2 linked regions of the Anolis sagrei genome follow. The protein of the gene in region 1 interacts with the protein of each later gene in a biochemical or structural test. Links are inferred from orthologs where the notes say so. Each region holds a gene or a part of one and is shown in the gene's direction. Other genes may lie near its edges.

The links.
Region 2: the proteins of PDGFRA (region 1) and PDGFB form a complex in vitro, tested with the Homo sapiens proteins (3 studies listed by BioGRID). The link is inferred for Anolis sagrei from reciprocal best matches to the Homo sapiens genes PDGFRA and PDGFB.

What each region holds. Positions count from the first base shown.
Region 1 is NC_090025.1:74,380,677-74,396,904, reverse strand, and holds the start of PDGFRA (platelet-derived growth factor receptor alpha), read left to right. Parts: upstream 1-9,825; 5' UTR 9,826-10,047; intron 10,048-12,018; exon of another isoform or gene 12,019-12,548; intron 12,549-16,228. UniProt on the Homo sapiens protein: Tyrosine-protein kinase that acts as a cell-surface receptor for PDGFA, PDGFB and PDGFC and plays an essential role in the regulation of embryonic development, cell proliferation, survival and chemotaxis.
Region 2 is NC_090025.1:163,469,269-163,485,877, forward strand, and holds the start of PDGFB (platelet-derived growth factor subunit B), read left to right. Parts: upstream 1-10,350; 5' UTR 10,351-10,561; intron 10,562-16,609. UniProt on the Homo sapiens protein: Growth factor that plays an essential role in the regulation of embryonic development, cell proliferation, cell migration, survival and chemotaxis. Potent mitogen for cells of mesenchymal origin.

The sequences.
Region 1 (16,228 bases):
TTCCTTGTATGGAAGGTGAAGTCTTAGGACCCTTCCCAGAACATCAAGGCAGAAAATCCCATAATATCTGCTTTGAAGTGGTTTATCTGAGTCCACACTCAGATAATGTGGGATTTCCTGCCTTGATGTTTTGGGATATAGGGCTGTTTGGAAGGACCCACTGTCTACCACCTTGTTTTCAGTAGTTTAACAGCATACTCCTGTCTGTTAAGATCTAAACCCTATTGAGTTCACTGTTATTGTGTGCCTTTAGTTTCTGGATTGTGAGAACATATTTGGAGGTTTCTAGGCAGGATTTGTTCAAACTGGGTTTGCTTTTGTCTTCCTCTGAGGCTGAGAGAGTGTGACTTGCCCCTAGTTTACAACCCCGATCTCCAGAGTCACATCCCAACGCTCAAATCCCTACACCATGCTGGATCATTGAGTATCTCTTTATAGTCTTATGTAGCAATTGAAGCAATTAGGAGTAAGGCTGCCTGTTTCTATAGGTGGAATGTGTTTCCAAAAGGTATAGAATCCCCCAAATTAAAAAAAAAGAGTTCTAGATTGTTGGCTAATAGTAGAATGTTATGTGCAGATCAAAACTATCAAAATAGATCAAATCAATGTATTGTCGAAGGCTTTCATGGCCAGAATTACAGGGTTGTTGTAGGTTTTTTCGGGCTATATGGCCATGTTCTAGAGGCATTCTCTCCTGACGTTTCGCCTGCATCTATGGCAAGCATCCTCAGAGGTAGTGAGACCCCATAGATGCAGGCGAAACGTCAGGAGAGAATGCCTCTAGAACATGGCTATATAGCCTGAAAAAACCTACAACAACCTAGATCAAATCACTTTAGTATACGACTTGAGAAATCGCAATTTGTAGCAAAACAATGCACATCTTCAATGCCTTTTAACCAATTCTTGTAAAAAATGGTTCAGATGGATTTGGTACCTTTTGGAAACAAGGTAACTATTGTGTTGGAAGGCTTTTATGGCCAGAATTACTGGGTTGCTATGAGTTTTCTGGGCTGTATGGTCACACAGAAATCCATGAAATCGCTGTGTAGGTATGTATAGATACTCCAATTCCCTGGAAGGATCTGATCCTATGTTAAATTCTGGAAAATATTGGTGTATTCATATAAATTCATGAGGCTGGAGCTAAACTACCATTTAATCCATATTGGCAAAGTAGAAAATCCAGAGTATGTATCTGTATCTGTTATAACATGCTGTGCTTTTTATTTAATTTTAGTTTGTTAATTCATATTTATATGTTGGGATGGATACATTTTGTTAATATGGATGTATTGTTGTTGTATTCGGGCATTGAATGTTTGCCTTTTAGGTTTGAAATCCGCCCTGAGTCCCTTTGGGGAGATAGAGCGGAATATAATTAAAGTTTTATTATTATTATTATTATTATTATTATTATTAATAATAATTTAAAAAAATCATAGAATCAAAGAGTTGGAAGAGACCTCATGGGCCATCCAGTCCAACCCCATTCTGCCAAGAAGCAGGAATATTGCATTCAAAGCACTCCTGACAGATGGCCATCCAGCCTCTGTTTAAAAGCTTCAAAGAAGCAGCCTCCACCACACACACTGGGGCAGAGAGTTCCACTGCTGAACAGCTCTCACAGTCAGGAAGTTCTTCCTAATGTTCAGATGGAATCTATTATTATTATTAGTATTATTATTATTATCATTATTATTTGCTTTGAACTGGATTATATAGCAGCTAAAGTCATATAATCCAGTGTAAACTCATACACTGCAGAATATAAATTATTATTATTATTATTATTATTATTATTAATAGAATCAAAGAGTTGGAAGAGACCTCATGGGCCATCCAGTCCAACCCGCTGCCAAGAAGCAGGAATATTGCATTCAAATCACCCCTGACAGATGGCCATCCAGCCTCTGGGGAAAAGCTTCCAAAGAAGGAGCCTCCACCACACTCCGGGGCAGAGAGTTCCACTGCTGAACGAAGTCAGGAAGTTCTTCCTAATGTTCAGATGGAATCTATTATTATTATTATTATTATTATTATTATTATCTTTGAACTGGATTATATAACAGCGTAAACTAATATACTCCAGCATAAACTCATGCACTGCTATATAATCCAGTTAAAAGCAGATAATCTGGATTTTATATGGCAGTGTAGAAGAGCCCACGAAAAAACATCAAATGTATTGTCGAAGGCTTTCATGGCCGGAATCACTGGGTTGTTGTAGGTTTTTTCGGGCTATATGGCCATGTTCTAGAAGCCTTCTCTCCTGATATTTCACCTGCATTTATGACTTCACAACCTCTGAGGATGCCTGCCATAGATGCAGACGAAACGTCAGGAGAGAATACCTCTAGAACATGGCCATATAGTCCGAAAAAACCTACAACAACCCAAACATCCAATGCCTCTCCAGTCTTGTTGTCTTAAGAACAAGAGCATCCAAAGAGATGCGTTTCCAGCTCCCCACTCCACACAATCCTTGCAGGGGTTTCTTGTATTCCCATTTGCCCACGAAGGCGCCTTCCCACTCCCACAACCAGTGGCACTTTCCCTTTGGGGCCCAAAACCACACTTCATTGATCACAGATCAGTCCAGTCGTTGTGAGCTTTGCTGGCTGTCTCCTGAGCACAATGGGATGGGCAAGGGGGCGAGGACGGGGGTCGTGGCGCTTGACTCCAACTCAGTGGGGCGCCCCTCCCAGCAAATGGCCAATAGACCCGTCTGTTTGTGGGAGAGAGACAGAGAGAGGAGCCAGGGCAAAGGCTTTCCAACAAGGGCACATATGGTGTCAATATTCCCTGTTTTCTGTCAACTCCCCGTTACCTAGATAAGGAAGGGGGGTGGGAAGAGGGGGAATAAGGGGAGAGAGGGAGGGGGGAGATTTCTCGCCATCTTCCCTGCAAGGACCACACAGAGGAGGCATCCGGACTCTTCTCCTACAACAACACCAAGAGTTCAAAGAGCCTTCATAAGATGGAGAAAAGGGGCTGGGGGATATTGGGCTTTCTCTTTTTGCAGATGGGTAACTAACTAGACCTCACAATGAGCAAGTCAGGTCTATTTAAGCCATCTCTAAACCACCCAGAACCTGAACACTGGTGGAGTTTGGGGGAATTGTAGTTGCTGGGATTTATAGTTCACTTACAATCAAATAGCATTCTGAACTCCACTAGAATCATAGAATTACAGAGTTGGAAGAGACCTCATGGGCCATCCAGTCCAACCCCCTGCCAAGAAGCATTCAAAGCACCCCCGACAGATTGCCATCCAGCCTCTGTTTAAAAGCTTCCAAAGAAGGAGCCTCCTCCACACTCCGATGCAGAGAGTTCCACTGCTGAACGGCTCTCACAGTCAGAAAGTTCTTCCTAATGTTCAGGTGGAATCTCCTTTCTTGTAGTTTGAAGCCATTGTTCCAAGCTTACGCCTTCCTTCCTATGGCTTCCTCTCACGTATTTATAAATGTCTCCTCTCAGTCTTCTCTTCTGAAGGCTAAACATGCCCAGCTCTTTAAGCCTCTCCTCATAGGGCTTGTTCTTCAGACCCTTGATCATTTTAGTTGATCCATTCCAGATTGTCAACATCTCCTTTCAACTGAAATGTAGTAATTCTTCCCCATTGAAAGACAGTCAAACATTATCTGCACAAAAGCTAATTCAGAAATATCTGGTTGATGAATGAATTTACAAGAACTTTTTTAAAAAATCACAAAAAATCTTGGATGAAGTGGACAATTAATTGAATCACAATCAATGTATACAATCTAGTATATTAGAAGAAATGTCCTTAGATTGCCAAGACCTGCAGCAATGGATGAAGTGGACAATTAATTGAATCAAAATCAATGTATACAATCTAGTATATCAGAAGAGATGTTGTACTTAGATTGTTGAGACCTGTAGCAATCTTCTTCACTGTTAATTGCAACCTTATACATGGCTATAATGTCTCCTCCCAGCCTTCTCTTCTTCAGGCTAAACATGCCCAGCTCTTTAAGCCGCTCCTCATAGGGTTTGTTCACCAGACCCTTGATCAATTTAGTCACCTTCTAGCTTGTCAATATCTCTCTTCAATTGTGGTGCCCAGAATTGGACACAATATTCCATGTGTTGTCTAACCAAGACAGAATAGAAGGGTAGCATAACTTCCCTAGTAAACAACACCCAGGGCCATGATGTGAATCTTTTGCATGTGTTGGAGAGATAGTAGGTCTGTCTGTCCTTTATAAGGCAGTGTTTCTTGGCTTTGTAAGGTCCTTTCAGAGGCATCTGCTACTTGACCTGATCTGCTTTCTGATTCAGAGCTTTGCTCTCCTTTTTTGGATGACAGCTGAGCAGTTTATAGTTCTGGGAGCTGTAGCCTCAGAAGTTTTCCAAGCTCTGGAAGTGATACATCCAGCCTTCTTTTTTCTCTTTGATGGGCAGGAGGACCTCATGCTCACCCGCAGTCCTTCTGCTTCTGGATCCCCTTCCTTATCCATCTGCACCAGAAGGGGATATTTCATGTCCTCCATCCAATCCCAAGTTCTTCCTCCATCATAACAAAGGCATTATTCAAATCAGGCTCCTAATGACAACCAGAAGAAGCTCTTCTCCCCCTTTCTCCTTCCCACTCTCTCTGCTCTTCTTCCCTCTGACCTTCATCTCCCTGTCTTCTTCTGTCTTCTTTCTCTTTGGCAACAAAAGCCCCCTTGATCAGCTTCTTCTCAATCTTCCTAATGCCGCAACCCCTTAATACAGTTCCCCATGTTGTGGTGACCCCCAACCATAACATTATTTTTGTTGCTACTTCACAACTGAACCAAACTTGGCACACAGAACTCCCATGACCAATAGAAAGTACTGGGTTTGGTGAGCATTGATCTTGAGTTTGGGAGTTGTAGTTCACCTACATCCAGAGAGCACTGTGGACTCAAACAATGATGGATTTGGACCAAACTTGACACGAATACTCAATATGCCCAAACTGGTGGAGTTGGGGGAAAATAGAGCTTGACATTTGGGAGTTGTAGTTGCTGGGATTTATAGTTCACCTACAATCAAAAAGCATTCTAAACTCCACCAACGATGGAACTGAACCAAACTTGGCATACACAACTCCCATGACGAATAGAAAATACTGGAAGGTTTTGGTGGGCATTGACCTTGAGTTTGGGAGTTGTAGTTCACCTACATCCAGAGAGCACTGTGGACTCAAACAATGATGGATTTGGACCAAACTTGACACGAATACTCAATATGCCCAAATGTGAACACTGGTGGAGTTTGGGGAAAATAGAGCTTGACATTTGGGAATTGTAGTTGCTGAGATTTATAGTTCACTTAAAATCAAAGAGCATTCTGAACTCCACTAGAATCATAGAAGCATAGAGTTTGAAAAGACCTCATGGGCCATCCAGTCCAACCCCTGCCAAGAAGCAGGAAAATTGCACTCAAATTACCCCTACAGATGGCCATCCAGTCTCTGCTTAAAAGCCTGCAAAGAAGGAGCCTCCACCACACTCCGGGACAGAGTGTTCCACTGCTGAACTGCTCTCACAGTCAGGAAGATGTTCAGATGGAATCTCCTTTCTTGCAGTTTGAAGCCATTGTTCCACGTCCTTGTCTCCAGAGCAGCAGAAAACAAGCTTTCTCCCTTTTCCCTTCTTCTCACATATTTATACATGGCTATCATGTCTCCTCTCAGCCTTCTCCCCTTCAAGTTAAACATGCCCAGCTCTTTCAGCCGCTCCTCACAGGGCTTGTTCTCCAGATCTTTGATCATTTTAGTCGCCTTCTAGCTTGTCAACATCTCTCTTCAATTGTGGTGCCCAGAATTGGACGCAATATTCCAGGTGTGGTCTAACCAAGGCAGAATAGAGGGGTAAGCATGACTTCCTTAGTAAACAACACTCCAGGTTGAGAAACGCTGTTCTAAACCTTATTTACTCCACTCCCACTCCCCCCTCCATCCAATCCTTCGGATCCCAACGAGAATTCAGTATACAAGAAGGGGGGCAGCAGATCGAGTCCCATGTATTTCCTGGATAATCTTTTAAAGCGATAGTCAAACTCCGAGAAAGGGCCATGTTCCCCTTGTTCGTGGCCGCCTGCGAGTCTTTTCCAAGCAATACGGTATCCTGTTAGCATTCCGAACAAGGGGGCTGCTGTTCAGAGGGGTTTTTTCCCCCCTTCCAAAGGTTTCCTGAAGGAACATGTGGAAGCAATAGTCCGGGCTGCGCGTTCAGCCCGAGATGCGGGAGGGGAAAAGCGACCCCACGAAGGGGGCTGGAGGCTGAACCAAGGAGGCTGGGTGGAGGCAACGAAGGGGGCTGGAACCCCGAAAGAACCCCGAAAGAGAGGGCGAGCGGAGGACTGGGTGGACGACTGGAAGGCTACAAATACAAACCACGAAAGCCTTTCTCCCTCCACATTTCCAGATGTTTAGGGGGGTTAGCCAACTGCCCCAAAGAGGGGCCAACATGTCACATCTGGAGAGTACAGGGAGGAAGGTGAAATCTCCCTCCCTTTTTTTTCGTGTTGAGAAACTGCAAGTCGCTTCTGGTGTGAGAGAATTGGCCGTCTGCAAGGACGTTGCCCAGGGAATGTCCAGATGTTTTACTATCCGGTGGGAGGCATGAGAAGCAAGAGCTGAGAGATGGGAGCTCACCCCACTCCCTGGAATGCCCAGATGTTTGTTTTACATCTGGGGGCTCCAGCACAGGGGTTTAACCCACTGCGCCGGCAGGACTGAAGACCAACAGGTCGCAGGTTCGAATCCGGGGAGAGTGCGGACGAGCTCCCTCTGTCAGCTCCAGCTCCTCATGCGGGGACATGAGAGAAGCCTCCCACAAGGATGATAAAACATCAAAACACCTGGGCGTCCCCTGGGTAACGTCCTTGCAGACAGCCAGTTTTCTCCCACCAGAAGCGACTTGCAGTTTCTCAAGTCGCTCCTGACGCGTCCTTGCAGACGGCCAGTTCTCTCCCAGTAGAAGCGACTTTCAGTTTCTCAAGTCACTCCTGACACAACAAAAGAAAAATCCTTGTGGGAGGCTTCTCTCATGTCCCCCGCATGGAGAGCTGGAGCTGACAGACGGGAACTCACCCCGTTCTCCCCGATTAGATCCCAACCTCCATACTGAGAAAAGGACAGAGTCTCTCTCTGGGTTGTTGTAGGTTTTTCGGGCTGTATGGCCATGTTCTAGAAGCATTCTCTCCTGACGTTTCGCTTGCATCTATGGCAGGCATCTTCAGAGGTTGTGAGGTCTGTTGGAAACTAGGAACATTGGGTTTATATATCTATGGAATGTCCAGGGTGGGAGAAAGAACTCTTGTCTGTTGTTTGAGGCAAGTGTGAATGTTTCAATTGCCATTCCACAGATATTGAAGCCCAATGTTCCTAGTTTCCAACAGACCTCACAACCCCTGAGGACGCTTGCCAGAGATGTAGGCGAAACGTCAGGAGGGAATGCTTCTGGATGCACGAAAAACCCACAACCCAGTGATTCTGGCCATATTTTTTTTGTCGTGTCAGGAGCGACTTGAGAAACTGCAAGTAGCTTCTGGTGTGAGAGAATTGGCCGTCTGCAAGGAGGTTACCCAGGGAATGCTCGGATGTTTTGATGTTTGATCATCCTTGTGGGAGGCTTCTCTCATGTCCCCGCATGAGGAGCTGGAGCTGTCGAGGGAAGAAGTGTTCAGAACCGAACCATAGGCAGAAGGGGGGGGGGGGTGACACGAAGGTCCCAGGACCCCAATAGGCCTTCGCCCTCCCTTTTTCCAGGAATCGTAGCTGTTTCTGTTTTCTAATCCCAGCGCGCGCCTCGAAATGGATCTGGAAAGCGCCCCCCTCCCCCTCCCCCTCCTCCTCTTGGGCGCCTCTTTTTCCTTTCCTGGACTCGGGGCGCCCCCTTGGCCTCTGAAGCGGAACAGCGCCGGGGAAATGCCGAGATCTGGAGCGCTCCTCCTGCGAAAATGAAGCGCAGCCTCTTCTAGCTCCCACCTCAAAGTCTCTGCACCCTTCTCCCCAAAACCATGACGCCCACAACACAGTACAGACACCCCACGATGAAGGAGAGCGCCTCTTTCGCTACTCGGGAGGCTTCTTTCTCTTGAGACAAAGCAGGGACAGACACCAATGTGTCCACTATTTCCTCCTCGACTCGGATCGAAGCCAAACCCCTCTTTGTCTTTTGAAGCCTTTCCTTCTCTGTCCGGGACAGGACTGCCTTCACTCTACTTACTTTTGCCCGAGTAGAATGATCCTCCAGGGTCAGTGTGCAGTGGGTCCCTAGGTGACTGTGGAGCCCTATACTTGATCTGCATCTTCTCCCGCAGTCCCGCCTGATGAGCCTTCCTCTTGGCATGTTTCTCTCTTTTGCCCTCCATTCATGCTGCTTCAAATTCTACAGCACTGCAGGTCACAGCTGACCTCCAACTGGAGCACTCAAGGGCCAGGGCTTCCCAGTTCTCAGTGTCTATTCTTGGCACGTTTCTCTCTTTCGCCCTCCATTCATGCCTCTTCAAACTCCACAGCACTGCTGGTCACAGCTGACCTCCAGTTGGAGTGCTCAAAGGCCAGGGCTTTCCTGTTCTGTGTCTATTCTTAGCACGTTTCTCTCTTTTGCCCTCCATTCGTGCCTCTTCCAATTCTACAACACTGCTGGTCACAGCTGACCTCCAGCTGGGGCTTCCCAGTTCGCTGTGTCTGTTCTTGGCACGTTTCTCTCTTTCTCCCTCCATTCATGCCTCTTCACATTCTACAGCACTGCTGGTCACAGCTGACCTCCAGCTGGAGCGCTCAAGGGCCAGGACTTCCCAGTTCTCAGTGTCTATGCCGAGCTTTTAAGGTTGACTTTGAACCCATCTTTAAATCTCTTTTCCTGTCCTCCAACATTCCGTTTTCAGTTCTTGAGTTCAGAGTAAAGCAACTGCTTTGGGAGAAGGTGGTCGGGGATCAGGACATCAGGCTGGTCCTGTGGAGTTGATGGCGGAGGACCATCACGTCAGTGCTGGTGGTCTTTGCTTCTTCCAGAGCGCTGACTGTCTTTTCAAGAGATTTGCAGGATTTCCCAGAGGCAGTGCTGATGGAATCGTTTCAGGAGTTGCATGTGACTTCTGTGACTTCTGTAGACAGTCCACCTTTCGTAGGGTTGGGAGGACAGTAGCTTTATAAACAAGCACCTTGATATCCCTACGGATGTCCCAGTACTCAAACTCTCTCTGCTCCATTCGGAAAAATGCTGCACTCGCAGAGCTCAGGCGTTGTTGTATTTCAGTGTCAATGTTGACTTCAATCCATGGGGGAAATTATGTCCAGTCACAAAAGGAAAGGCTCCCCAAATCCCACTTTTCCAGTCCCCTCTTTCCCCTTTGATTGGGGAATAATTCGGTTTCAGAGCGCGCTCCTAAGAAGCGCTCCCGCAGCTGCCTCCTTCCCAGGGCAGCCTTCCTCCTCCTCCTCCTCCTCCGAGAGAGCAGCCCTCCATCTCCTTCCATGGGGAGAGCCTGACCCACCATCCTCCCTTAATGAGGGAGTGGGGACGGGACTTGTGTTCATGCACGAAATTGGGACCATTTGGGACGGAGGAGAGGAGGAGGGGGGGGGGGAGAATCTTTCGCCCTTGCCGCCATCTGGCCCGGCTCTCCCTTTCCCCATCGCTCATCCCCAACTGGGGGAGACCGGGGCTTTCCCCTCCCGGCCCCACACGCGCCCGGGTCCCTCTCCTGCGGCGTAAAAGCCCCCCTCCCCCCCTCTCCCGAGGCGCCCGGAGCCCCAAAAGGCGAGCGGGGAGGCTCTTATTCTGGCAGGGAGGCGGAGCGGGCGGCAGGCGGAGGAGAGGGAGAGAGAGAGAGAGAGAGAGAGAGAGGAGCGCGCCTCATTTCCTGACAGCGCTTTTCTTCCCTCGAAGCCCAGGCTCCGTCGGGGCAGGATGGGCGCTCGCCTTGAATCAATTACGGGGCTCCGCTTCTGAGGGGGAGGAGGAGGGGAAGGGGGGGGGGGAAGCAGAGGGAGACGGGCCCGGAGGAGCATGAACCCGCGCTTGAATTGAAGGCCGAAAGGTAAGCTTCGGAGGCAGCCTCCCCCGCACCCTCCCAACTCAAGGAGAGGAGAAGAAACTCTGGGATTTGGGAAACAGAGGGTCGATCTTTGAAGGGGGGGGGGGAGCAATCGGCTGGACGAAAGGGAAAGAGGAGCGCCGTACTTGGTCCCAGCTCCAGCCTCTGCTTGGGGAAGAGGTGCGGGGAAAACAAGGGGACGGAGGTCTGAACTTTAGTTATTTATTCCTATCTCCCGTTGCCTGTCTCGTTCGTCAGAAGGAGGCTCCGAAGGGGAGTAACGCCAAGCCGATCCGCGTCGCCTGGGCTAATGACAACCAGATCCTTCGGCGGTGGCGGAGGGGCATTCCTCCCCAAACTGCCAGAGAAGGAGATCTGGAGAGGCGGGGAGGGGGGGAAGGGGAGGAAGGGAAAGACACCCCCCTCAGTCCCCCTCAGTCCCCCATCCGGAGGGAATCTTTGGTGGAGGGCTTGGGGGAGTCTGCCCCCCCCCCCCGGCCCTTTCTGCACTGATGCAGTGTTGAAGGAACTATACCGATTATTCCCTAGGAAGCCCCGGGACCCGTTAGAAACCCTAGTGGCGATTATTCTTTCGTGCACTTCAATGGGAGTTTGTTGTCAGATCTCCGCAGCTCGGAGTCTATCAAATAGCCAGGGTAGATGGGTCCTGCCTCCCTTCTCTTTCTTCTCTTCTCTCTTCCATTCCTTTCTCCCTTCCCTTATCTTTTCTCTCTTCTCTTCCCTCTTTTCCTTTCTCTTCCCTTTCATTCCCTCTTTTCCCTTCTCTTCTTACTTCCGTTCCCTCTTCTTTTCTCCCCTTTCTCTTCTCCTTTCTCTTCTCCCTTCTCTTCCTTCTTCCTTTCTCCCTTCCCTTCCCTCCCTCTTCCCTTCCCTCTTCTTTTCTCCCTTCCCCTTCTCACTTCCCTTCCCTCTTCTTTTCTCCCGTCCCTTCTCTCTTCCCTCCTCTTTCTCCCTTCCCTTCTCCCTTCTTCCTTCTCTTCCCTCTTCCTTTCTCCCCTTCCCTCCCTCTTCTCCCTTCCCTTCTCTCTTCCCTCTTCTTTTCTCCCTTCCCTTCTCTTCTCCCTACCCTCTTCTTTTGTCCCTTCTCTTCTCCCTTCCCTTTTCTTTTCTCTCTTCCCTCCCCTTTCTCCCTTCCCTCTTCTCCCTTCTTTTTTCCCTTCCCTCCTCTTCCCTCTTTTTTTCTCCCTTCCCTTCTCTTCTCCCTTCCTTTCTCCTTATTTTCTCTCTTCCCTTCTCCTTTCCCTCCTCTTTCTCCCTTACCTCTTCTCCCCTTCTTCCTTCCCCTTTCTCCCTTCTCTCCACTTTCTCCCTTCCCTTCCATTTTCCTTTCTCCCTTCCTTTCTCCCTTCGCTTCTCCCTTCCCTTCTCTTCTCTTCTCTCTCTCGCTCTCTCTCTCACACACACACACTTCCTTGCTATACCTTTCTCCTCCCTCTTCTCCCTCTCCTCCCGTCCATTTCAACACCGAGGGGGGTCAGGGAGCCAGGATGAAACTGCCCCTCTCCCTCCAGTTCCAACTTGGTCAGTATAAACTTCGGGGTTGGAAGAAGGGGGAGAAGGGAGGCGGACGTTTCCTTCTGGGACCGGAGCCTGGCTCCGAGGAGGGAAAGCGTGGGAGGAGGTTGGAAGACTTGGGCAAACGGCGGCCCGTGGAAAGAGGCGGGCGCCTGGCACTGCCAACGCTGCAGTGGTTGCCTTTTGGAGGGAGGAAAAGAAAAGGAAACGCTCCGGGGGGAAAAAATCTCTCCATTGCGCAACATTGACCATCCCCTGCTTAGTTGAGGACGCCGCCGCTGTTTGGGGCTCCTCTTTGTCTCGGCCGTCGGTGCTGAATGGCGCCCCGCCCCCTCGGAGCCACTCCCCTCGCGCCCCTCCCCTTTCCCCCTCTTACCCCACCCCCGACGTGACATTTTGTTCCGGGATATATCACCCCCTGTTTGGAGAAATCGGGAGTTTTTCTGAAGCTGCAGCCAGTCGGGAGTCGGAGAAGGAGAGGAGCAAAACAACCCCTTCCCCAAACTCCCCACGGCGTCGGATTGGATCATCTCCCTTTTGCGTGGTTTTTAAAAAAACTTTATTCTTCTTATCACCATCATCTTTAGAAGATTTCCTTCCCTGATGGTCCTCCGCTTTGGGGCAAAGAGAGGGTTTTTCGTCTCAAACTTGCGTGGAGTGTATCGCACGGATGTAGTGTTTTTCCTCTTCCCAACCATCGATTTTGAATTTCACTTTTGGGGGGCGACGAAGAGAACAACCTCTTGATTTTTGGGATTTTTTGGCAGACAGTCCCTCTGCTCCCTTGTGTTTTCCAGAGGAAGCCGTGGAAACTGGGAGAGGGATTGGATTCCCCACTTCTCACATCTTGGATGGAATAATACCGCTACCAACTGGATAATATCCAAGAAGAACCCCCAGTTTCCTCCAAACTTAGCCCTGGGATTAAGCTCTAACAATCCCAGGAAGAAAACCTTGAAGAGCGTTGGGTGGGTGCTGTTGTTTTGTTGCTTTCTGCGCCTCCACTCCTTTGGAAAAGCTTGGCTTAGCATCCTTTGCCATCCAACCCTAACCCAAATATCTAGGCGGCTTTGTGGGTTGTCCCGATCAAGCTAGGATCACCAGTGGGTCTCCTTTAAGAGAGGAAAGTGGGGAACTACTACTACTATTGCTTTTCTTGGTGTCTTGGTTGTTAGACCTGTTCCAGGGTTCTTTAAAGGCAACGATTCAGAAAATGGCAGGGATAGACAACATCCGTTTTGTGTGTGTGTGTGACTTGAGAAACTGCAAGTCTCTTCTGGTGTGAGAGAATTGGCCGTCTGCAGAGACGTTGCCCAGGGACACCGAGGTGTTTGATGTGTTTACCACCCTTGTTGGGGGCTTCTCTCATTTCCCTGCATGAGGAGCTGGAGCTGACAGAGGGAGCTCAACCCGCTCTCCCTGATTCTGCCAAGGAGCATTGCGCCATTGGGGGGGGGGGGGGAATCAGTTGTGTGGCATCAGATATTGTTATGATGCTTTTCTATGAGCCAGAAGATTGGTATATTTATTTATTTATTTATTTATTTATTTATTTATTTATGACATTTATATGTTGATTTATTGTTTGGTTTTTTGGTTATGTGATTTATATTAATTGTATTGTTTTGTTTTGTTATTGCTTTTGTTTGTTGATGTGTTGTTGGGCTTGGCCTCAAGTAAGCCGCACGGAGTCCCTTGGGGAGATGGTAGCGGGGTACAAATAAAGTTATTATTATTATTATTATTATTATTATTATTATTATTATGCCGCCCTTCTCACCCCTAAGGGTACTCAGAACTACTTACAATATATATATTCATATTACATATAAAATTACTAATAATATTACATTATAATGGTATAGTATAATATTGTAATATTTAATACTGATATTATACTATGCTAATAATATATTGTATGTGTGTGTGTGTGTATATATATATACACTACACACACACACACACACACACACACACACACACATATATATATATATATATGTGTGTGTGTGTGTGTGTGTGTAGTGTATATATATATATACACACACACACATACAATATATTATTAGCATAGTATAATATCAGTATTAAATATTACAATATTATACTATACCATTATAATGTAATATTATTAGTAATTTTATATGTAATATGAATATAAAATTATATCATTTTATAATTATATTGCATTATATTTTAATATTATTAATATTATATGTATACACAATATATTCCCTTGAAGGAGCTGGGGGTTGTGACGGCCGACAGGGAGCTGGTCCATGACGTTGAGTCAGAAACGACTGAACGAATGAACAACATACAATATATTATGTTATGTTATGCTATGCTATGCTATTATATTATGTTATATTATATTATATTATTAGCATAGCACAGGAGACACTCTGTGCTATGCTAAAATATAATATAATATAATATAATATAATATAATATAATATAATATAATATAATATAATATAATATAATATAATATAATGGCCCAGAGCGGCAGTTGGTGATGGGAGGAGGGATCCCCAATATGACATGTATGTTCTATTATCTCAAAAATTAGAGTTGATGGGAGGACTGGTGGAGTCTCCTTCTGTGGAGGCTTTTAAACAGAGGCTGGATGGCCATCTATTGGGAGTGCTTTGAACGCGATTTTCCTGCTTCTTGGCAGGGCTTCTTGGCAAGGTCTCTTCCAAATCTAGGATTCTATGGTTCTGGAATCAGCCGTCAAACATACCCAGAAACAGGTCTAATATTTGAGGCACTAAAATGTATGCTAGCCAGTGAACAACAACAGCAGCAACAACAACAAAGAAATAAATCAGAACTGCTAACTGCTATGGCTCAATCCTATGAAATAAGGCTAATGGTTGAGGCACCAAAATGTGTGTTCGCTAGTGTGTAGTAAGAGTAGTAATGAAGAAGTGGTAAGGTCGGAGGAAATGTTGTGATACACACAGATATTTCACACGTCAGGACCTTGGGTCCTTCCACACAGCCCTTTATCCCAGAATACCAAGGCAGAAAATCCGACATTATCTGAGTGTGGACTCAGATAACCCAGTTCAAAGCAGATATTGTGGGACTTTCTGCCTTCATATTCTGGGATATAGGGCTGTGTGGAAAGGTCCTCTGTTGTCTTCTCCAGGGATGGAAGTCTGGATTCTCCAACCAGGAGAAACCAGGCCTGTAGCGAGGGGGTGGTTTTAGGGGTTCAAACCCCCCCCCCAAATGTTTCAGTTTTTTTTTTTAAAAAACCTGGTTTATTCGTGAATTTTAACTGGTTAACCAAATCCCCATGCTAAGTCTATGAGATGCAAAAAATTAAGAGTTCCTCCAGAACTGTAAGCACTATCTCAAGCAAATATTGACAATTTATTCACACTGTCATTACTTGCAGCAATAGCCAATGTAGCAAAGCAACCAAGTTGGGGGTGCATCTGTTGAATGCTCTCATTAAGGAGGCCAGACTTGGTGGAGGTGGTTGACAGGGGTGGAGCTGCAGGCTATGGAAGGTTGCTCTGCCCCCTGCTGTGCTCTTTGCTTCAGTGTGAGCTAGGAGGCAGGTTTCAACCCCCCCCCCCCCCCGAAATTTTCAACCCTCCCCGAATTTTTTTTCTGGCTACGGCCCTGGGAGAAACTACAAGTCGCTTCTGGTGTGTGAGAATTGGCTGTCTGCAAGGATATAGGGCTGTTTGGAAGGGTCCTCTGTTGTCTTCTCTAGGGATGGAAGTCTGGATTCACCAAACAGGAGCAACTTGAGAGACTGCAAGTCGCTCCTGGCCGTCTGCAAGGACATGTTTTACAACCCTGTGGGAAGCTTCTCTCATGTCCCTGTATGGGAAGCTGGAGCTCCCAGGTGAAGGTCTCTTCCACATGACACAATTACAGCGCTGTGATTCCACTTAATTACCTGCAGCACCATTATATAGAACCCTAGTATTTGTGTTGTGATAAAACAAGGATCTCCTCCCTTTCCAAACTACAAATTTTCAAGTTCCAGGGCAGTTAATACTGCTGTAAATCTGACTTTGTGAGTTAAAGGCTTCCAGTGTTTGGGGACTCTCATGCAGATCATCCCTGACCATTGACCTGGCTGGCAGAGGATGATGAGCCTTGTAGTCCAGACAGGTAGGATGGGCATCCATCCCATACAAGGACTTGATGGCACCCTCTAACTCCAGGTTATGATGATAGATGATCACCTGAAATGTTTAGAAAAAGGAGAAAAGGTTTAGAAAAAGGAGAAAAGGTTTAGAAAAAGGAGAAAAGAGTTAGGAAATCTATTTATAAATTGTGGAACTTCACAAAGTTGTCTGGGTTGAGTTTTGGGAAGAAAAATCCTTCATCACACCAGGACTGGGAGTCAGCTGCATTAAGATCACCACTGACCAAAAGGTCATGAGTTCGAAGCCAGCCCCCGGTCTGAGTGAGTTTCCGACCAATTTGTGTAGCTTGCTGTTGACTTTTGCAGCCCAAAAGACAGTTGCATCTGTCAAGTAGGAAATGTAGCTACCACTTATGCAGGGAGGCAAATTTACTACTACAAATTTACTACCATAAAAATCTCCAGCAAGCATGCAAAGAATGAGGAAGTACTTCATCAGTGTCACAGTGAAGTAACAGCTCCCCTGGTGGC
Region 2 (16,609 bases), about 89 Mb from region 1:
AAAAGTAGCAAGTTAACAACCAGCACCTTAATCAGTAGCTGAGACTGGATGAGAAAGTCCCTCCTGGGCACACAGAAGCCTGGACAACCTGGAAGGCACTGAACAGTCTGTGATTTGGCACCACGAGATGCAGAGCTAACTTTAAGAAATGGGGCAACATGCAAATCTGGAGAAGAGCAAACCACAGACCACCTACTACAATGCAACCTGAGCCCTGCCGCATGCGCAATGGAGGACCTCCTTATAGCAACACCAGAGGCACTCCAAGAAGCCAGTTTCTGGTCAAAGGACATTTAGTATAATGCCAAGGTTTTAAAACTTTGTGTTTTTAAAATGCATTTTAACTGTTCCCTCAACTCACTTCTGACACAATAAATAAATAAATAAATAAATAGAGATGACAAAGAAGAAAGGTTGCAACCAAGCTCACAAATCTAATGTGAATAAGTATGGGTTCCATGCCACAGATCCTGGCTATGGAGGCAGGGGGAGGGGGGGATTCATTTACCTCAGCATCCTATGCATCTCTTGATGTTTGCCAGAGGCTTCGCTGGCACACTCAATTTCCTCAAAAGGGGCCACATCACAACCTGTGAACCTTTAGTTTATAGCGGAGGTCTGTACACAAATGTCATTTTACAAGCCATGAAGTTTGTGGTGAACCATTGATAATATGGCAAAACAATTGTGCTATTTCTTTGGCACACTGAAGAAAAATATTTCCAGTCCACCGTATTAGATAGGAATTAGATAGGAATGCATTAGATAGGAATTTGTTCATCCTCTAACACTGCTCCATCATTCTCCATCACTGCTCTGTCATTCATTCTCTATCACTATATGATCACTCCGTCTGGCTCACTGCACACTTGATCATTCTCAACTTTCCCCGTCTGGAAGGCTCATGAACAAAATGTTCCACACCCATCCCTTTATTACCTTTCCACAAAGCCTTCTTGCAACTTAAGAAAAAAATACCTCCCTCCCCTTTTCCCCACTCTTGTTACTTATTTTCCATCTGTGATTCAGAGCGTGTAACTCCTGTTCTCCTGCTTCCGCCTCCACACCTTGTGGGATACGGTGTTTCCTCCACCTCCATACTTTGACTGCATTTGGCACATCTACAGCCACAGAAAATAGAGACAGCATTTTGTAACTCCTTTTCCCATCAAATCCTTGCCTTCTTGGCAAAATGGAAAACTTAAAATATAATTTCAAAGAGGAGAAAAAGCACAGCAGGGTTCACTTGTTCGCTACACCAAGAATCATTGAGTTGGAAAGGAAACAGGGTTAAGAGAAGCAGAAGGTCACAATGATCCCAGCTATGTTTTACCAAAGCAAAATTATTGTGGTGCAGGGATGCGTGATCTCTTTTGTGAGCTGAGAGAAGCATCCCTAATTAGAGATCTCTGTGTTCGGCGCACTGAGAGGAAGATGAGTGGAATTCACCTTTCAAAGAAAGAGCAGCTCAATCCTGAAATGATATCCAAGAGTACATTATGATCTCAGAACCTTTTAGACTTCAGTTCCCACAATGCCTAGTAGCTGACAGGCTGGCTGGGATTTCTGGGAGTTGAAGTCCAAAACCAGTTTGGGAACCACTGCTCTAAACTGTGTAAAAAGGAGTTTCTTCTAAAGTGGATGTTATTTTAGATGTCACATTCTAACCTTGCTCTAAAAAAACAATTATAGTGACCAGGTGGGTATTCTTATGTAGAACAAGTAATACGTGTTTACTAAATACAGTTTAATGTGTTTACGGATCTTTTCATTTATTTAATAAGTGGTTTTAACCTGGTCTACAATCAACATTTACATAGTTGTCAATATGGGAGGGGGGAACAGTACTCATCTTGTATCTGGTGCTGGCATAACAGGAGATTTGAATCTGATTTGATTCTTTTACATCCCCAAGGGCTTACATCTGAGTTTAAAACATTTTTTTCCCGGAAAAGCCAAGGTCTGCTCTTTAATACTAAAGTGAGCTCGAATAGAGGAACTGTATGGTTGGTAATGCTGTTCTCCCTTTGATTTAATAAGGATGTGTGTGGTGTTGAAATGGCCACTACATAACAGGAAAATGCAAGTTGAAGCAGATTCTCTTTGCCTGTGTACACAACACCTCACTTTTTAGCACTCAGCCCTACTGGTCTCTTGACTTCACAGATATCTTAATCCTCTGTGTCCTCATCATAGCATCCCCATAGTACATCCCACTGTCATTCTTTCTACTAGTCACTATTCATATCTAAATTTCTCTATCCAACAATAGACATCTATCATTCAAGCTTCATACATTTCTCTGACCATGCCTACCATCTTATTCTACAATACCAGCAGCCAACACACAAACTTAAACTCTTTTCAACAGTTATGAAAGGCAAACATAATTTCCCAGTCAATGTTGCCCAAAAAAGTAGCCTTTCTAAGCAATTCTATAAAAAAGCAGAATATCTATTTGTGCAAACAATCTCAGAATGATCTTGGAATAAGGCTGTGTCTGTCACATATTATATGACCAACTTAGGATAAACATGAGTTGTAGAAGCATAAGGGCTACAGGCCTGGTCTACCTTCCACCATGCAAAAGGCATATGACCATAACAGCAACAACAACAACAACAACAACAACAACAACACACTTTATTTATACTCTGCCCTTCTGCCCTAGAGCAGATTACAGTGTATACAGCGGACATAGGCAAACATGTCCGCTGTATACTCACATACAATGAGACACACAAACACAGATGAGGCAAAGGCTTCTCCTTTCATTTCTGGCTTCTGGAGGCAGTGCTCATCTCTGGTTCTTAGGGAGGTGCTTTTCTGTATTTCTAAGCCAAGGAGCCTGCATCGTCACCTCCTGGTCACATGGCTGGCAAGACTGCTTGGAGTGTCTTTTTGCTTTTTCGCACCAAACAATTCTTATTTATCTACTCATATTTGCATGTTTTCAAACTGCTAGGTTGACAGGAGTTAGAGCTAACAGTGGGTGCTCACCCCATCCCGCAGATTTGAACTGCCAACCTTCAGGTCAGCAGTTCAGCAGCACAACCCCTTGTTGCATATCCACCATATCTTTAGCAACAAGGTGGATTACTTACCAAACAGACACCTGAGCAAATAGATATAACTACAAATATATCTATTTTGTATATCTTGGACTGAAGCCCCTAGGATTCTGAGAACTAAAGAAAAACAACTAAAGAAAACTCTCATTTTTGCTAGTGTACAATTTACTGCAAACTACATTTTCCTCAGACAGTAAATTCATCATTTATTTCTTGAATCTATACTATGCATTCACACATAAAATGCCCATGTTCTAAATCTATCCACGATCCTTTTGTTGAAATATAAGATTACATTTTTAAAACTGCAACCCTATACTTGGTTATCTCATTGGAATTCAAACATCTTGAAATCAGTAGAGCTTTATTTTGAGTGATTAATGTAGAATTACTTGAAGCTGCTTAATCAGTTTGATTGATCAGTTAAAGCCTCTTTAAAATGTGTGTTCTTGATTAATCGCGTAACAAATAATCCACAGAAGAAAATACCCATTTAAATGAAGTTGGCTTCAGAACAAATATACAATATGTGCAAATATAAATCTTCATTTATTAGCCCAACTAATGAATTGATGTTCAGGGATAAGATCTATTAGGTCCATTTGCTAAGTCATGTAACATTATACCATGCATTAGGTACCAAGAAATCCTACAATTTCTCTCCCTCTATGGCAGTGGTTCCCAACCTTTTGTTGACCAGGGACTACTTTGACCAGGGTCCACTTGACCAGGGACTACTCTCTCACATTAGTACCAAAAGGGTTATCAATCAGTTCAGTCAACTATAGATTTGGTTTGGTTATTTGGGGTGCTGATTCAGAAAATTGAATTGGATAGACCACATAAGCTCTAGTTTCTGATACAGAACATATGCCATCCACTAGTTGCCATCTGCTTGCCTGCAGAAACCCATACTTAATAAGCTTTGGCACTATAAGAGAGTTTTGTAAGACCAGTTGCTCTTGTTGCAACAGCGAGGCCATGGACCATATTTTAGTTCTTGTGAACCACTGGTGGTCCACCAACCACAGGTTGGGAACTACTGCTCTATGGTATGGTCCAATGTGGGAAGAGGTTCTCAGGAGTGACACCAACCCTAGTGATGCCACTAGGCTTAGTAAGCCTCCATGGGTGAATCATTGGGAAAAGGGGTAAGTGCAGCTTTACTATATCAGTTGTGGCAGCAGCACACTGTCTAGTTGCAAAGACAACATATACTAATTCCTCCTGTCATTTCTGAGAACAGGTGTGGCCTAATGGTTTCTGCCCCATGCAGACTGTGAACTTCAAATACCTGTACCCTTGCTATTACACCCAGGAGAACCTGATCTGGTACTGAGCTCAGCTCAATACAAGCAGGCAGCCTGGATGCCCCAGCATCTATTATGCTTGAACAAAACCCAAGGGAAATCCCAGAATCCCCACAGACAATTTCCCCCTCTGAGAGTGGTTGCCCAAAAGAAAGCAACTTTCTCAAGGTCTATGCTAGATCCAATTTGTCAGAAACAAATAAAGGACAAGTGTGGCTTGGCAGAATGAAATGGGAATCCCAGAGTAGAGCATTAATATCCAGTGTGCATAGACAGGGCGCTGTGGGTGGTCCAGAATGAGCAGTGGGCGCAAGAGGAAGCCGGGAGTGAAAGGCTCTCTGTTTGCAACCCAATAACCCCCCAATTCAGCATGCATGCCTCCTGACATTTACCCCTACCCCGACTCCAACATCCCACCTCTGGCTTTGCAAGCATGAGGGACAAAACCATGGAAATCCCCTCTGCCTCATCACAGGGAAAAGAGGAGGAGGTGGTCTTGGTGGTGAGCTCACCCTCTTTGTGTTAAGTTTGCAAAATCAGTGACAAAGTGGCAGGGAGAAGGACGGCGGGAGGGGAATGACGACGGGCAGGAAACCAAGAATACATCAGACGCGCTATATTTAGAGCCTTTTATTGAGCCGAGGACAATATTCCTTGATTTTGCATTGTTTTGGAGAGGGCAGAGGCCAGGAGAGCTATTGAAACCTTTTGTCTTTAGAGATGCCACTTTGTCTGGGTCCATGGGGGTGGCAAGGAGAGGACGTAGGAGCACACTTTGACATGTGTGTTGTGGACAGTTTGTGTTTTTAAAAAGATGAGTGCCATTGCATTGATACTATGCTCACACGCCCTTCCACTAGACTTCTGCAGTGATGCACTTCTCTATTCTCTCATACAGATTCAATGAGCAAAACTTCATCTTGCTTCATTATAGTCATTAACTTTTTGACAAATGGGAAGAATGCAGAAGGAGAGAGGATTCATTGATGTATCTATAGCAAGACAAAAATGCTGGTGAAGGAACATAGTGATGCAAGGATCTCAGAAGTTACACAGCCTATCTCAATTCAGTAGTTTTCAAATGGGTGGGACAACAACCCCCAGCTGATGGGAATTGTAGTCTGACACACCTGGAAAGTGCTAGCTTGGGGAAAACTGAGTTAAATAAGATGTCTGGGCGTGGCACATTTGTCACGGCCTTTTGAAAACTGGTTAAAACTGTGGTGTCTAACAGAGCTTTCAGTATTACTCCTTGATATAAAGAAAGATGTCCAGTTGGTTTGGTTTCTAAATGTGGGTATATATTTGGTATGATGAATGCATTTTAAATGCTACATTCTGGGGTTTTTTCTTTCACATGGCTGTATCTTCTTTTTTCCAGTGGCATCATAGCATCCCTTCACACAGTTAAAACTGGTGCGCCAGCTCCAAACATACCTCAAGAAGCCTGACTTGGCCATGGTGGTCCATGCCTTAGTGACATCTATAATGGACTGCTACAATGCACTCTATTTGAAGACGGCTCAGAAACTGCATTTAGTGCAAAGGTTGCCAGCCAGATCACTAACTGGGGCTTATAATAGGGAGCATACTATACCCCTATTAATGTAGCTGCACTGGCTGCCAACAAGTTTCCAAATCCAATTCAAAGTGCAGGTTAGTGCCTATAAAGCCCTATACGCTTTCTTCAAGACCGCATCTCCTTTAATGAATTGGTGCGAGCTCTAAGATCTGCCAGAGAGGCCCTCCTCTTAGTCCCACCCCATCTCTGGTGGGTGGGGATGAGAGAAAGGGCCTTTTTGGTGGTGGCCCCCTGGCTTAGCCCCCACTCTCCAAGCTTTCCGGACACAACTGAAAACATTTTTGGACCATGATTAGTACCTTAATAACTAAACCCAAGGACCTAGTGATTGATTCGCTTTAGCACTTTATGGGACTGTTACTATACACAGCCTGTTTATATCCACAGTCTTATTGATTTATATGTTTGTGTACCTTGTTGTATTTTGAGTGCTGCTCCACTATTGTGTGTGTTTTCGTGAGCCACTCCGAATCTCTTTGGGGAGATGATAATAAAGTATTTTATTGTTGTTGTTGTTGTTGTTGTTGTTATTATTATTATTATCTTTGTTTTGGAATACAACTCCCACAAGCTTTGGACAGCCTTACCAATGGCCAGGGCCCATGGGAGTTATAGTACAAAACATCTGGAGGGCCGGTGGTTCCAGAAACAAGAGTAACTCTAAATCAGTGGTTCTCAACCTGTGGGTCCCCAGGTGTTTTGGCTTACAACTCTCAGAAATCGCAGCCAGTTTACCAACTGGTTCTAAATAGAAGCTGCAATTGTGTTCTTGGCAGCCCAAAGGTGTAGAAAATAAGCTAAACAAGTGAAGTACTATGAGAAATAGGGGGCTGACCAACAAGGTCCCAGAATGGTCAGCTTACATGAGAACCAGGAGCAAAAGGTCATTTGCTATACACAGAAGAGGAACTGAAAGGAATGAAGGGGAAACCACGGCGTCTCTAAGCAAGTCCTTGGGTTTCCAAAGAGACTTTAGGTTTACCACTCCATATATGGGGAACACATGGTTACAAACTGATTCAAGTCATCGTGAGAGTGAGCATAGTTTCAGTCTTTGTTTTTCGCTCTCTCTCTTTCTATGAATGTATCAATTTCCAGCACGCAGTTGAGTAGGGATTGTAGAAGAATGAGGAATATTGTATGAGGGACACCTACATATGTGCAAGAGACCACATGCTCGTGCAAACTTCAAAGGGATTTCTCATTCTACTCTCAGAATGAGTTGGCAGTAATGAATGCTTCTGACTCTAGAGGTCGGGAGGTCCATCTACACTGAAGAATGAATGCAGTTTGATGCCACATGAACTGCGATGGCTCAAGCCTATGCAATCATAAGACTTGCACTTTGGCGAGATCCCAGCATTCTTTGTCAGAGGGGGCTAAAGAACCGGCAAAACTATAACTCCCATAGGTTATAGTCCCTCTATACCATTGAGCCATAGCAGTTAACGTGTTGTTAGACTGCATTCATTATAAAGTGTAGATGCACTCAGAGACAGCACAAAGACAGTAAAGTACATACTACCTCTGACCTCTCCTTGTTTTTTTTGCAGAGTGAGAACTAAGATCACTGTGCTAATACTGGGCACATCTACACTTAGGTTGGTTCCAAATTGGAATAGCAGAAACTAATTCCACTGTGAGAATTATTAGACTGACCTCTATGCAACAGGTTTGAAGCCCAGGTGGCAGTGAAGCAACCACAGAGGGTAGCCAACTGGTCCCAACAATTACAGTATCTACGGCTTGGCAGCCATAGAGAATGTGGTTCATTTTCTCACTCCCTCTGCAGCAATGTGCATGTGCATATCAGTAGAATGCTTTGGGTAACCACACAATGATCCACATTCTATGGAGTCACGTTCACCATGCAATATCATTTATCCTTGAGTGTGCTGATGCACATTACAGGCTCTATTTTAACATATCCTCTGACTTTGCTTATCTCTGTTTAAAGGACTTGAAGCGTGCTGCAGCTTCACAACATTGTGTTGTAAATCTGATTCCAAGCTGCATTAAATGGTCAGTGTTTGTTGTTTATTTGTTCAGTCACTTTCAAGTCTTCATAACCTCATGGACCAGCCCATGCCAGAGCTCCCTGTTGGCCATCTTCAACCCTAGTTCCTTGAAAGTCAAGCCAGTCACTTCAAGGATAACATCCATCCATCTTGCCTTTAGTTGGCCCCTCTTCCTTTTTCTTTTCATTTTCCCCAGCATTGTTATCTTCTCCAAGCTTTCCTGTCTTCTCATTATGTGGCCAAAGTACTTCATCTTTGCCTCTAATATCTTTCGCTCCAGTGAGCAGTCAGGCTTTATTTCCTGGAGTATGGACTGGTTGGAACTTCTCGTGGTCCAAGGCACTCTCAGAATTTTCTTTCAATACCACAGTTCAAAAATGTATATCTTCCTCCACTCAGCATTCCTTATGTTCCAGCTCTCAAATCCATAGGTTACTATGGGGAATTACTTACTTTCTTAGGTGATCCCTCATTGTCCGAGTAGGATTGTCTTCCAAGATTGGTGTACTAGCGGTGGGTACGTAGGTGACTGTGGAGCTCTATTGTTGATCTGCATGTTCTCCCGCAGTGAGGGCATTGGTTGTCAGGTGGAAGGCAATCCTGGTTGGGGTTGGCTTGACACACTTTCCTCTTGGCATGTTTCTTTCTTTTGCCCTCCATTCGTGCTTCTTTAAATTCTACAGCACTACTTCCAGTTGGAGCTCTCAAGGGCCAGGGCTTCCCAGTTCTCAGTGTCTATGCCACAGCTTTTAAGGTTGGCTTTGAGCCCATCTTTAAATCTCTTTTCCTGTCTACCAACATTCTGTTTTCCATTCTTGAGTTCGGAGTAGAGCAACTGTTTTGGGAGACGGTGGTCGGGCATCCGGACAACGTGACTGGTCCAGCGGAGTTGATGGCAGAGGACCATTGTTTCAGTGCTGGTGGTCTTTGCTTCTTCCAGCACGCTGACATTTGTCCGCTTGTCTTCCCAAGAGATTTGCAGGATTTTTCAGAGGCAACGCTGATGGAATCGTTCCAGGAGTTGCATGTGATGTCTGTAGATCGTCCACGTCTCGCAGGCATATAGCAGGGTTGGGAGGACAATAGCTTTATAAACAAGCACCTTGGTATCCCTAGGTCCTCAAACACTCTCTGCTTCATTTGGAAAAATGCTGCACTCATAGAGCTCAAGCGGTGTTGTATTTCAGTGACAATGTTGACTTTTGTAGAGAGGTGGCGGAAATGGTCAATATTTTCTAATGTTACACCATTAAGCTGTATTTCTGGCATTGGAGAGGGATTGGCTGGTGCGGAATACCATTGCTTTAACTATGTGGATGGAGCCCCGGTGGCACAATGGGTTAAACCCTTGTGCCGGTAGGACTGAAGACTGACAGGTTGCAGGTTCAAATCCAGGGAGAGCACAGATGAGCTCCCTCTGTCAGCTCCAGCTGCCCATGCGGGGACATGAGAGAAGCCTCCCACAAGGATGGTAAAACATCAAACCTCCAGGTGTCCCCTGAGCAATGTCCTTGCAGACAGCCAATTCTCTCACACCAGAAGCAACTTGCAGTTTCTCAAGTAGCTCCTGACATGAAAAAAAACCCCAACAAACTATGTGGATCCTCATTGCCAGTGTGATGTCTCTACTCTTAGTGTAGATGGAGCCTAAATGGGCCTCTGAATTGATTTATGGTCTCATTCCCAGCCCCATGCACTATTGGTGAAGAACATAAAGGGTCTCCATAGGACTCCCTTACCTCAAAATGGGAATCCAGTGTTCCCTCACTTACTGCGGGAGTTCAAGTTCCAGGACCCTCTGCAATAAGTGAAAATCTGCGTAGGGACACCAGATTAATTTCAATATTTATACATTATTTTCTATATTATTTTCTTGTCTGCGCTTCCTTACCCACCTCCCGGCCCATCCCAAGGGCACCTGCCTGCCTCCCTGGCCTCCACAGATCCCTGCAAAGCCTCTGGATCCATGCAGGTGGCAGCAGGCTAGGGAGGCAGGCCTTCCCCGCTGCACCTCAGGCTGCCGCACTTCTGGGGTCTGTGGAGGCCAGGGAGGCCGATCTTCCCCACCACACCTCAGGCCACCTCACTTCCGAGGTCCCTGCCCTCCACTGGACGTACATATTTTATATTTTATATTCATAATTTCAAAAACTCACGAAACAGCGAGTCCGCTAAAAGCGAACCGCGAGGTAGCGAAGGAGCACTGTATATGGAAACTGAAGTAAAGCAGACACTGCATGACAAATATGAATATATTTTAGAAGTAGAGATTCCCTTTTGCACCTGGGGGTGTGGAACTGGGTGCTCAGCATCATCTGAGTCATTTTAATTCCTCTTTCCTTTGAGCTGAGATACAACAGGATCTTCCATGGAGATGAGAGTGGAGTGTGATAAAGCTTAAGGATGGGGAAGGATGTATTGCAAAGGCTTTTGATTTTCACGTCTCTTTATTTTACCTCATGAGTCATATCATCATGTTCTCAAGAGCTGAGTAACTGCCGGGTCTATTTTTACTCTAGTTCAGCAGGCTTTCTTTCCTCAGCGGCTGCTACAGCTGAAGAGCCGAAGGACACGAGGCTGGTGAGTTGGGGGCCATGGATGGCTTATTATGAGAGACGGGACTGGGTGGTGATGCTTTCTGGCAAGGGGGGGGGGGGTAGCCTTGCATAGTTAGGAAAGAATAATATGCTAATATCCAAAGGAACAGAATAGGATGTGACACACATCTCATAAATGTATATATTCACACAGAGAAAGAGTTATATTTGGGGGTGGCGCAGGGGATGGGCAAAGGGGAGGTATTTCTTTCCAGTGCTATTTGGGGACTTTGGAAAAAATAACGAAAGAAAGCAGGACATTTTTCCTTCCAACAAAACAGGAAAGAGATGGTGGGGAAAGGAGGAGGGGGATAGATAGCATCAAATGCTCCTCAACAATGGACAGGGATGGGTGGGGGAGAGTTTCATTGTTTCCTAAATATGGGGAGGGACAGAATGAATAGAACTGTGAATATATCTCTGCAGGAGGTGTTTTTAATCCCTTGTTCGTAAAAGCATTCAAGTATCAGAGCATGCTGCACTTCTGTGGAAAACTGGCCTCCTCCCCTCACCCAAGAGACATCTTTATATTTTCCTTGTGCATCTTTCTCTCATGCTCATGGACATACACACACACTTACATTCATTGAAATCTACAGAATAATCCTATATTATAACATAGGGAGTGGAGAAATGCAATGCCCTTATATCAGTGGAACAGCCATTACACCCTCTAGTCCAGCGTTTCTCAACCTGGGGGTCAGGACCCCTGGGTGGGTCGCAAGGGGGTGTCAGTGGGGTCACCAAAGACCATCAGAAACCACAGTACTTTCTGTTGGTCATTGGGTTTCTGAGTGGGAAGTTTGGCCCAAGTCTGTCGTTGGTGGGGTACAGAATGCTCTTTGATTATAGATGAACTATAAATCCCAGCAACTACAACTCCCAAATGCCAAGGTCTATTTTCCCCCAAACTCCACCACTGTTCCCATTTGGGCATATTGAGTATTCGTGCCAAATTTGGTCCAGATCCATCATTGTTTGAGTCCACTGTGCTCTCTGGATATCGGTGAACTACAACTCCAAAACTCAAGGTCAAACCCTTCCAGTGTGTTCTGTTAGTCATAGGAGTTCTGTGTGCCAAGACTGGTACAATTCTATTGTTGGTGGAGTTCAGAATGCTCTTTGATTGTAGGTGAACTATAAATCCCAGCAACTACAACTCCCAAATGACAATATCAACCCCCCCCCCCCCAACCCCACTAGTATTCAAATTTGGGCATATCAGGTATGTGTGCCCAATTTGGTCCAGTGAATTAAAATACATCCTGCATATCAAATATTTGCATTACAATTTATAACAGTAGCACAATGACAGTTATGAAGTAGCAACAAAAATAATGTTATGTTGGGGGTCATCACAACATGAGGCACTATATTAAGGGGTCATGGCATTAGGAAGGTAGAGGAACACTGCTCTAGTCTATGCCCTCAGCCTGGGAAGAGTAATGAAAAGATACCCTGAAGAACATTTGAAAAGGGCAGACATCATCTCTGAAAATATCACTATGGTCTTCCAATGAGAGACTGCTGGCAATGATGCCTACATGCTCCCTACACCCATATGTGGAGGCAGCCCATGAATTTGTAGCAGGGACATGTCCCCGAGCAGTCATATACCAAAGAGGGTGATGCCACAGTGTTCCTCAGAAGCTCAACTTTTGGCACAGAACCCCAGTACTGCAACTCCCCAGGTACCACTCCAAAGAGGACATACCCTTCAACACAAATAAACCAGTTCGCATGTGGCCCAGTAACATTAGAGTGTGGTTACAATGCCAAAAGTTATTAATGAGAAAGAAGACAAAAGCAAGGAGAGCCTGCAGTAGTTTACTTTTGCCCAAGCCTTCTAGGAATGGCAAGATTCTGCTCCCTATATTTCTCTCCCTCACCTGCCAAGTTAACCAAGTCCAAACTACTTTTGTATTTCAGTTTTCAGGGTCTAAAGTAGGCTGAGGACAAAGGGGGAAAGGGGGAGAAGGGGAAAGAAACTGGGTATTTCTAAACCAGCTGAAAATATGAGTGACAGATTAGGATTATCCCAGTCAAATCAGGACAGTGGGTTGCTATATGTTTTGTAGGCTGTATGGCCATGGACCAGAAGCATTCTCTCCTGATGTTTTACCCACATCTATGGAGGGCATCCTCAAAGGTTGAGGGGTCTGTTGGAAATTAGGTAAGAGAGGTTTATATATCTGTGGAACGTCCAAGGTGGGAGAAAGAACTCTTGTCTGCTTGTGGATGTTGAAATTTGCCACCTTGATTAGCATTTAATGGTCTTGCAGTTTCAAGGCCTGGCTTGTTGCTGACTTGGGGAATCCTTTGTTGGGAGGTGTTAGCCGGTCCTGACTGATTCCTGTCTGGAATTCCCCTGCTTTTTGAGTGTTCCCCTTTATGTACTGTCCTGATTTTAGAGTTTTTTTTAATACACATTAATAAGCATGTGGATAATTTCAACAGAAAGGAGGAAACCATGAAAATTAACAAAATCTGGTTACCAGTATTTAAAAACAGTAAATAAAGAACTACACTAAAAAAAACAGGGAAATTCCAGACAAGAATCAATCAAGGCCAGCTAACCCCTCCCAACAAAGAATTCACCCAGGCAGCAATGAGCCAGGCCTTAAAACTGCAAGGCCATTAAATGCTAACCAAGGTGGCCAATTGCAATATCCACACATGCCTCAAGGAAGCAAGAGTTCTTTCTCCCACCCTGGACTTTCCAGATATATAAACCCCACTTATTAGTTTCCAACAGACCCCTCAACCTCTGAGGATGCCTGTCATAGATGTGGGCAAAACGTCAGGAGTGAATGCTTCAGCAATCCAGTGATTCCAACCATGGAAGCCTTCGACAATACATTGAATCAAGACAGTTGAAGGGCATGTTGCAACTATGGGGGAAGAAGGATGAAGGCAGTTCTCACACCTCAAATGAAGAAATGTGCCCCACCAAATGGAATTTTCCATCCGTGTCCCAAATTTTTCACACTGCAGAGAGAAACTGGGACGTTTTAAAAACAGCTCAAAAAAATGAGACCACAGAGGATTAAACAGGACTCTCCCTGCCAAATCAGGACATTTGGAGGGTACAGGGAACCCAGGGCTTGAAAGTAACACATGATAAGCAATCCAGTTACTCCAAATTCTTTATGTTAGGGATAGGTGAGTCACATTTCCAAAGTAATAGAGCAAGTGGGGATGAAGTTACTTTACTGATATAATACATAGCATTTTCTTATGTTTGTTTTTAAAAGACATGTTAGTGATATCTCAACAGACGCATTCTCTCATCACTCTGAAGTTACACTTAGAAATGAAGCAATATATGGCACGGGCAGTTTATTTTCAAAAACAATGCATATTACAACAATTAAAAAGTTAATTTTGTATATCTGGGAGCATTGGAATTCCATTCAGCACCTCACAGGTATTGAAGGGCCACATAAACAAGGTGAAGGAAGGCGAATTCACACAAGAGGACACTCCACCTGAGCACTGCCCTGGGCACACAGCCTCCTTGGAGAAGGCCCCAAGACCTCTCTATGGAGGGTAAGGCTGTTTGGTGGCCTGAGAGCATAGAGATCCAGATAGATCAGCATGCTATAAAAATAGCTGTAGTGCACAGACTATGGCAAGGGTGCATTGTAAAATCTGAAGCACAAGCTCTCACCATGACAACCACATACATAGTAGTAGTTTGTAAGGCTTCATCTTGTGGTTGTATGCCTTTTCATCATTTTCAACTTATGACTAGCCTAAGACAAACAACCCTATTCCAGTGTTTCCTTGGGAAGAACTGTTCAGAAGGGGCTGCCACTGCTCTCTTCTCTAACTGACAGAGTGGGAATTGCTCAAAGTCACCCAGTGGGTTGCTGTGATTTTTCCGGGCTGTATGGCCATGTTCCAGAAGCATTCTCTCCTGACGTTTCACCCACATCTATGCCAGGCATCCTCAGAGGTTGTGAGGCAAGTGTGAATATTGCAATTGGCCACCTTGATTTGCATGTAATTGAAGCCGATAGTCGACAACATAATTGCCTTGTAGCTGCAAAGCCTGGCTGATTGCTGCCTGGGGGAATCCGTTGTTGGGTGCTGTTAACTGGCCCTGATTGATTCTTGTCTGGAATTCCCCTGTTTTGTTTTGTTTTGCTTTTGTGTGTGTAGTTCTTTATTTACTGTCCTGATTTTAGAGGGTTTTTTAAATACTTGTAGCCAGATTTTGTATGGCTAATTGCGACATTCACACTTGTTTCAAGCAGACAAGAGTTCTTTCTCCCACCCTGGACATTCCACAGATATATAAACCTCACTTGCCTAGTTTCCAACAGACCTCACAATGCCTGCCATAGATGTGGGCAAAGCGTCAGGAGAGAATGCTTCTGGAACATGACCATACAGACTGAAAAACTCACAGCAACCCAGTGGTTTTCCAAGGTGGAGCAAGGATTCAAACCTTGGTCTCCCAGAGTCATAGTCTGCTCTTAGTTCTTGCTGACTCTTTCTGTGTACAGTTAATGTGCCTTAGTAGCCCTTTCAAGCATCCTTTCCATCTGAGATAGCTAATACCCCAGAGGACAGGATCAGAATTCAAAATGGCCTTACAGACTAGTTTGGCTGGAGAGAGAGAAAATCTAACATAAGCTTTCATGAATTTACACTGAAACCATCAGATGCACAAAACCTTGTATCAGATGAAATGGACAAGTCCATGAAAGCTTATACTAGCATTTCTCTTTCTCAGTCCCAAAAGTGCTGCAGATTTTGAGGGTATAATTTTATGCTGATACAGAGTAGAACTGCTATGTCTTTGAATAGTATTATAATGGGTTGCTGTGAGTTCTCCAAGCTGTATGGCCATGTTCCAGAAGCATTATCTCCTGATGTTTCACCTACAACTATGGCAGGCATCCTCAGAGATTGTGAGTTGTGCTGTAAAACTGGCAAGTGGGGTTTATATATGATAAATTATTGTAATGTATTACAATGTATTACGATTGGGAAAGAATGCTTGTAAAGCAGTCTTTGTAAAGAAGCAGAGACTGGTATCCAACAGAGTATCTCCTTTAGGTATGAGTAACCTACTCTTGTGATGGGCAAGAAGGAAGAAAAGGGGGTGAGAAAAGTAGACAGCAATATAATTAAGGCTATGCCAATTGGCATAGACTCAATTGATCAATAGAACACAGAAGGGCAGCATTTATGCTTCTGTAGGTCTAGTGTAGCTGGGTCTAATCATCATCATCATCATTATCATCATCATCATCATCATGTGCCTAGACACCATCAGGATTTGTAAAAATGCTGGCACTTTTATTGAAAATGTGATGAAGTTCTGGAAAACTGAACTGTATGTTAGAAGTGAAAGCTATGGACTTGTCAACCTCAGGAGAGGAATTTTCCAGGGAGACTTATTGTCCCCACTGCTTTTCATCATTGCCATGATCCCTTTGTCAACAATCTTACAAAAAACAAACCTCAGCTATTAAACGTCTAAGAAATCTCTCAAAATTTCACATCTGCTGTACATGGATGACCTGAAGCTGTATGGGAAATCCGAAACTGAAATCCAGTCTCTGACTAACACTGTTTAAATCTTTAGCACTGTTATCAACATGGAGTTTGGATTGGACAAATGTTCGACAGTGGTACTGAAGAGGGGAAAAATCATTGAAAGTGAGGGCATAAATATGCCCAATGGCCAAGTGATAAAGTGTCACCAGCCAGAGTCCTATAAATATCTGGGCATACTACAGCTGGACAACATCATACACGAACATGGGAAAACTGGTCAGCAAAGAATACACTCAAAGGGTCAGAAAAATTCTCAAAAGCAAACTCAATGGAGGCAATACCATCAAGGCCATAAACACCTGGGCCATACCTGTCATAAGATATACTGCTGGCATCATAACCTGGACGCAGGCAGAACTGGACGGTTTGGACAGAAAAACAAGAAAACTCATGACCATTCATAATTCACTACATCCTCACAGTGACGTTGACTGGCTCTGTCTGCCTAGAAGGTAGAGGA